2 linked regions of the Mus musculus genome follow. The protein of the gene in region 2 interacts with the protein of the main gene of each other region in a pairwise test. Links are inferred from orthologs where the notes say so. Each region holds a gene or a part of one and is shown on either strand. Other genes may lie near its edges.

Region 1 (3,175 bases), on a different chromosome or scaffold from region 2:
AGCTTGGCTGGCCAGTGCACGAGGCAATAGGATTATTGGCATTTGTGGCCATACCTGGTTTTGTGTGTGGTGTTAGGGATCTGACTTATGTCCTCATACTTGCAGAACAAACACTTTACACACTCAGCCACTTACCTAAGCCCTGGAGACATGGGGCAGTCGAGAAGGCTTATGAAAGCCAAGTCATACTTGAAAAAAAATGAGCAATAAAGCTAAAAAGAACATCTATCTTTTGAGTAGATGTAAACAATCTTTGTAGTAACCTGGACTGGCGGATCCTCTTCACTTTTCAGAGTGCAGTCTCAGAATGCCAAAATGGGATATTTAGGGGGAAGTTAGAAGATTATTTTTTTTCAAACACTGTCACAAGACTGCACTTCATATTTTAAACAGAAACTGATAGAACTTAAGTACTAAAATTTATAAGCAGCTAGAGGTGCATGCCTTGGTTAGAGTACTTGACTGATGGCGTGCACTGCCAGGCCTGCACCGTGGTTTGACCCCTAGTACCACAAAAAACAAAACAAAGTTTAGAAGTTTTCAGAATCATTTCTTTAACACAGAAATCTGTTTATTAAACCAAACAAAACAGAGAAAAATTATACCAGCCCTCAAAATTTTAAATTTTCCTTAAATAAGCAAACTCTAAATTCACACCTTTAAAAGATGTTTGTGCATCTATGTATTTCCAAAATACTCATATTTCAATAAGATTTTCACATTATAGTCACCAACAGTATCACAAATTTTTTTTGTTTTTGTTTGTTTGTTTGTTTGTTTTTGTTTTTTTTTATTTACGTAACTGTAAGGAACAATAGTTCTAGAAACACTAGAAGAAAAAAGCATAGCAATGTCCACAGTTACAAGAAAAAGTGCACATTACCTGGTCACAATCACAGTCAGTACTTGAAAAACTAGATGTAAGGAGTAAGGAATGCCACTAATGCCTTCAACTCATTGTCAAAACCCGAATGACAGAGATTTTACATAAAATAAGGCAAAGTCAAGAATGCACAAAGAATTTGTAATTCAACCGAAGCTAAACAACAGAAAGGGAACTAGTACAAGCATGAGCTAAGGTACTTCTCCTTAAATATTTTAAAAATAGGCTGCTTCAGTGCACAGAAAATACCACTCAGAGTGTGTCTAACACTAGAAATAGAGAAAATGGCAGAGCCTGGGAGACAGGAGGGGAGAGTTCGTTGTTAAGATCCAGCTCGATCGGCTGAGAGCTCTCAATTTAAAACAAGAACAGAAGCTTAAATGATACAAATCATAGCAGGAGACATAACAGCCTTTCCTGGAAACTATTTCCAAAAGAAATGAGAAATACATACAAGAGTGCAAAGTTTAAGATTGTCACTTGCAACCTCAGTAACATTCAGTCATCTACACCCAGTCGCTGCTCTGGAGGGTTGCTTGGTAGCACAACCAGGGGCGAGCAGCTCTGAGGAAAGCACGCGCAAGGGGCTGGGTTTTGTTTTGTTTTCAACATGGTCTTTTTTATAACTTTTAGAAAATTCTGGGATGAAAACTTCTGTGGTAAGCTGCCGTGTGGCGTGGGTGTTTTGAGACTGGAAATGGAGGCATCTCTTGGAAGTAGTTCCTGATGAGTTGACTTACAGAAAGTAGGCAAAGGGTTTTCCAGCATTGAGGGTTGTTATTTTTCTTTTGTAGAAAGAATTTGGAAAGAGGAGAAGGCAAAAGGGATGCAGGAAGGGTACTTAACAATAGTTTCTCAAAAAACAGTTTTCTTTTAGGACCTATGAAAAAGTTACCAAAGTAAAAATGACCATTCTGAATGAAAAACAAGTTTTCTTTTTATAAAAATTACATTTTTTCTTTTAAAATACAAGATCCTTTTCATTGTTGTCATATCCTGTAGCAACAAGAAATTTGGCTTTTTATTTCCCCAGATACTTCATCTTTCAGTCCAATGAGTCAGTAGAAAATTCCACTAATATTTCAGTTGGATCTTGAGCTTTATATATATATGTATATATACCACAAGCTTCTTCATTTTTATCCTTGAATTAAGAATATCCAGGCTTTTAAAAATCTGCTTATGATATTTATGCTGACACACTAAAACATAAAGCAACAGGCTGGGCACATTTGAGCATCTCAAGTACTTCAAGGTCAGAGTTCCTGTGAAGTTCCTTAACACACCAGGGTATGGAGCAAGGACAGCCTGGCATGATGGAAATGCTTCCCTCAAAAGGTTGTGCAGCAAGCCTAGGAGTATCTCTGCTGGAAAATCAAGTGTCATTAGTGGAAACTGCAAATTTAGAACCCAGTGAGTACAGACATCGTTTGCCTCAGTTCTGTTGTAAAATGAGATTTTCCAGTTCATCTGCGGAACGCAATAAAAATGCAGCCGATTCTCGATAACCGGCGACAAGCTGTCTCACGGCATTGATTTCCGTCGGACTGAGCTGAGGTCTGGAGGTTGAGCTGCTGGACGATCCCGAGCCAGTTGCCAGCTGCCTCTTCATGCTCAGATCTGTGGGTCCTAGACAAAAAGAATCACAAAATAAGACAGGAATAGTATTTGTTCTAAGATCTCACAGGTGAGTGCCCATCAAATTAAGATTGCATTTATTCAAGAATGCTTTCATGAGAAACTCGTGGCCTCTATAATCGAATATGCATCTGTGCTCTGAAAGACTAATGACTAGTGTGATATGACTTGAGGATTTTTTTTTCAGGTATCTTGGACAGTTTCCAGCCATCCTTCCGTGTTATAGGGAAGACTCGAATCCTTTGAACACCTGAACACCGTCTGTTAGAAGAGTTCAATTTGAGTCTGTCTCCCACATGGTGCAGAAGCTGCAGTGTACCAGTATTAAGATGATGAATTGCAAATATTTCTATTTGCTGCATTCATTAACAAAGTCTCCCTCCCAACTTTATTTCTCTTTTTAAAGGCCCACTGATTGCTATTAGTGCTGCGGACATGGGCATGGGCATTAAACTATCTATGGGAGCTTGGACCTATGGAGATGCAGTGGTATCAGGAGTTTCTCAGCCATGGGTAGGGCTGTGTGAGTACTTCTCTCCATGTTAACATTTGACTGGCTTGCTGTTATGCAGGGCTTGTGTAGATACTTTGTCCACTTGTCACAATCAAGAAATATCTAGGAAGGAAGTCTCAATAAGGGACTGTTTAGAGCAG
Region 2 (4,415 bases):
AGTTTCAACTTTATAGAAAATGAGCGTGTCTTCTAAAGCTACCACCCAACACAGTAACAGTTTGGGCTCTGAGAAAGATAGTACATGTTTGTGAGCATGGCCCTCAGCCCCAGAGGGACAAGGACGCTGCAGCTGCTGCAGGACTGCTGAAAGACACGGTAGGCTGAACCCGTCTACCCCACAGAACCCAGAGTCACTGCTAACAGTGAGTGTGACGATGCAGAATGCAGGCACTGGTGCTGACAGACTTTCAGGTGCCATGGGTTAACTACAAAACCAAGTCCACATAAGCCGCTGCCTCTCTTGTGAAGAAGTTTACATCCCGGGGCTTGAAGGCAGGCCCCCTGCCCAGCACCAAGCAAGCCAAATCCTTTCCTGACACTAGAAGAATGAAAGCTAGTGTAAAGGTGCTGCCATGCAGTACAGACCTCAGGACATGTCTGCTTTCCATACCATGCCGGGAGGCCACACAGCTAGTAGGTCTCATGGACAGGGGGTCCTCAGCAGTACCCAGATCTAAGGATCAATGTCCACACAAGTTTCTTGCCAGGTTACCCTGTGGGCACTCACCAATGAAGTACAAAAGGCAGGTAGGAAATAGTGAGCTGCTGGAAGGACAGGAGTCTGTCCCACCTAGAACCCTGAAGGGGACACTAGACCTCTCTGAGCATGAGACTCATCTGGAAAAGGGCGAAACACAAGCTGAAACCTGCTACAGGTCCACAGGTGACAGAAGATAGAATAGCCAGAGAAGGACAGTGTATCACTGAGGTCCCACCAGGATTCCACAGGCCCCAGCCCACACTATGTACAACTAACATGGCACAGTGCCCTCAGACATCTGTGGAAGCCAGGCTGACACATACAGCAGGGCCATGCAGAGAAAGAGCAGCCTCAAACCACAGCTGCCACCCTAAATAGTAACAAGACAAGCAAACTCATAGAGTTCCGGAGAACAGTATGACCCCACACTACACCACAACGCTGTCCCTGAACTTGGCACATCCCACAGCTGTCACCCCATGTTGCAGATGAAACAGAGAGAACACACATATGAGCCCAGCCCATATTCACATCCTGCTATCATTCTTCCAGAGATCATGCTCCCCCGGGGTCTCAAAGATGTTAGTCCAACTCTATAATGGAGCCCCGATGTCCTGCATGCCAATCACACTGGGGTAAGCATCCTGTGTATCCCTGTTTATATTGGACACGTGCTCTGAATCTGGAAGTGACAAAGCAAAACACAGTAAGGGAACATACTACCCGGGGAATAAAACTGCTAGGTATCATCTTGCTGACACCCTGGCTCACTGGGTTCACTTTCCTAAATACTGGACAGCTAAACTCCTTCCCTTTTCCTTCCTACAAGGCAAATTTGTCCTAATCAATCAAAAGCTCAACACGACAAGGGACATAACCCTGGGCCAGGAAAGGTTTGACAGGCAAGGCTGTCCTGCTGATTTCTGGAAGGCAATGGGCTGGGCCTGCCCTCCCTACCCCATGGGAAATTTGGACTATAACCCTGCTGGTTTGGGTGCAGAGCCTCTTCCTACAAAAGTGTGTGTGTGTGTGTGTGTGTGTGTGTGTGTATACACATGAGCCTCCAGGGAGTTCAGCTCTGAAGAGGTGCAGTGTAGGGGAGGAGTACCCACCACCAGTCCAGGATGAAGGCAGGCCTGGAGGGCCTTACCCCGCCACACCCTGAAACAAACTGACAGGATCTGCAAAATGGCCTTGTGTGATAAGAGGTATAGTGGGCCATCACAGGGCGCCTCCCTTTTTCCCTCCTGCCTACAGTTCCTTATTTCCTGCTGGCAGCACACGCTGCGAGGATTCATCCCCTGCCAGCTTTCAGGCTATAAGGAAGAAGGCAGTGCCCTTGTGAGAACAGAGCTGGGGGTCAAGCCGTGTGGTCATTAAAGTGGAAGCGCCAAAGAGAGGGACACTGTAGGGCACTTGGACGGTGGGCAAAAGGCTCCTCCCTAATCCGAAACCTCTCGGCTGCCCCGCCCGAAGGTGGGGTCGTCTTCGCTGCGCGTGCGCCAGGCTACGCGGCCAGGGAACGCAGCCAAGGAAGGACTGCCCTCCACAGGCAGGACCCCTGTGGCTTAAGGACTTTCATAAATGAATAAAAAAAAACGTAAGTGGTCCAAATCCAGGTGCCAAGCTGAGCATCACTAAGTCGACCAGAGGGGTGATAGGCATGTAGGCCACCCATGTTCCCTCAGCGCCACCTCTAGAGACTACCCGCTCCCGGATCTGCCGACCCGAGGCCCATGCGGAATCCGCAGGCTCGTCACTCCGGGAACACCTAGGTCCCGGCTGGGTGTCCACGAGAAGGATCCTCGCGGGACCCCGGGCCAGGAAGACAGGCCCGGCTCGGTCACAGTCTGGGTCGCACCACCACAGGCCCCTTTGTCACCTGCGCGGGTCGCGAGCGGGCATCGGAAAATAGGGACGCGCACGCGCGTGCAGCAGTTCGCGCATGCGCATCACCCGTTGGCCTCCTGGGTTTCTCCCCCCCAACCAGGCGCGCGCGCAGCGAGCGCGCACGCGCACTCGCACACAAAGCCAGCGCCGCGCGCGCCCGGCCGCCCCGCCCCCGCCCCTCCACCCCCCGCCCGCAGCCGGAAATGCGCGCGCGCGGCCTTACCCAGCGGCAGGCCCTTGTTGAGCAAGTGGGAGCTGCCCATTGAAAGGTGCGGGTGGCCGCGGGCCCCGATGAGTCCGGCGCTCTCCGCCGCCGCGAGCCCTGCGCCTGGGGCGGCTTCGGCGCAGTCTGCTACTCCGCCCGGCCGCCTGCGCCCGGCCACCGCCGTGCCGAGCCGCCACCGCGCCGCCAGCCGCGCTCCGACCGACGAGCGGGCGGGGACACGCGGCGCGCGCGCGCGGGCGTGGCCTCGGTTGGTCTGCTGTTTGCAGGCAAGGCGGCGCGCTGGACGTACGCGGGCGGCTCAGGGGCCCAGCTGCCCGCCGGCCCGACGCTCGGCCCCCACCCCCAGCGCCCCTCCCAGGCTGGATTCCCTTCCTGGACACGCCCCCAGCTGTACCCGCCCCCGGCCTCCCCTCCCCTGCGCGTACCCCGGACTGCGCCCCTGCCACTCCTTGGCGCGGTGACCTGGGCCGGAGCCTGAGTGGTGAAGCAGCCCATCCGCGTGGGGCGCTACCAGTCTAGTCGCCGGGGCCTCAAGAGGACAGCGAGAGCGGTTCACTCGGCCCCTTGTGCGCTAGAGCTGGGGCCGCGGACCCAGGACCCAGGAGCTGGACAGCGCCCCAGCCAGGGAAAGTGATCTGTGCGCAGGGACAGATGCCCGCTGGCCACCCCAGAGTAAGCGACTGACTGTTGGTGGGACTGTCAGACAGGCGTAGCGAGGGATACCGCTTAGCTGTTAAAAAAAATAAAAATAAAAAAAAATAAAATAAAATAAAATAATAATAATAATTAATAATAATAATAATAATAACATCACGGGAACAGTCCAAACTGAAGGATGCTGAAGGCCATATGGTTACGAGTTTTGAAAATCAAATCTTTGAGAAAGGTGGGCAGTATCAATGAGGGATGACAAGGGCCTGGGCATCTGTTTACAGAAAAAATGCTTTGAAAATACCTTCCAATTCCATCTATTGGCAGACATGGATGGAGAAAAAGATCTAACAGGTGGAGTCTCAAACCTGCTACAGTATTTCCTAAATAGACTGAGGGCTAGGGGGGAAAGCCAGCAGATGTACACTTTCCCTTAATCCCCACCCCTATCCTGGACTGTCTCTCCTGGTCTGTTCCAGTTTTCTCGAGCTGCAGGTGACTCCCTACAGATCCATCCAAAGGGCTCCTCCCAGTTGTTCCATCCTAACATAGCAACTCCATGGCAGAGTGACACCTCCTATTCCTTCTCAGGCTGCCCAAATTCCCACTTTTTCTTGCACATTGTGACTAGGACCACCACATCACTCCATCCTTGTGAGGGATTATATCAGGGCTTGTATAAAAACCCTTAGGGCTCAAAAGATGGCCTAATAGGCCATCACTTGAAAGAGGCACATTGGACTTGCAAACTTTATATGCCCCAGTACAGGGGAACGCCAGGGCCAAAAAGGGGGAGTGGGTGGGTAGGAGAGTGGGGGGGGTGTGGGTATTGGGGACTTTTGGTATAGCATTGGAAATGTAAATGTGCTAAATACCTAATAAAAAAATGGAAAAAAAAAAAAGAAAAAAAAAACCCTTAGGGCCTCCCAGGAAACCTCGGAAACCTCCCAGGAAGCCTCGGAAACCCAGGCTTCTTGTCACCATCACACTGGCTTGGACTCCTACTCCAGGGATGGTCCCTGCAGGCAGGAGTCTGCTCCTGCGGATGTGAGGTAGAAAGCCACTAGGTAGAGATGTGGAGATGCACAGGTGGTTCTGAACATGC

Evidence for each region. The genes of interacting proteins can lie anywhere in the genome.
Region 1: the proteins of Ctbp1 (region 2) and Nol4 interact in binary tests that used the Homo sapiens proteins (3 or more experiments, as listed by UniProt). The link is inferred for Mus musculus from reciprocal best matches to the Homo sapiens genes CTBP1 and NOL4.

The regions. Positions count from the first base shown.
Region 1 is NC_000084.6:22,692,623-22,695,797, forward strand, and holds the end of Nol4 (nucleolar protein 4), read right to left. Parts: intron 2,513-3,175; coding exon 2,319-2,512; 3' UTR 533-2,318; downstream 1-532.
Region 2 is NC_000071.6:33,272,123-33,276,537, forward strand, and holds the start of Ctbp1 (C-terminal-binding protein 1), read right to left. Parts: upstream 2,883-4,415; 5' UTR 2,697-2,882; coding exon of another isoform or gene 2,657-2,696; intron 1-2,656. UniProt on the Homo sapiens protein: Corepressor targeting diverse transcription regulators such as GLIS2 or BCL6. Has dehydrogenase activity. Involved in controlling the equilibrium between tubular and stacked structures in the Golgi complex.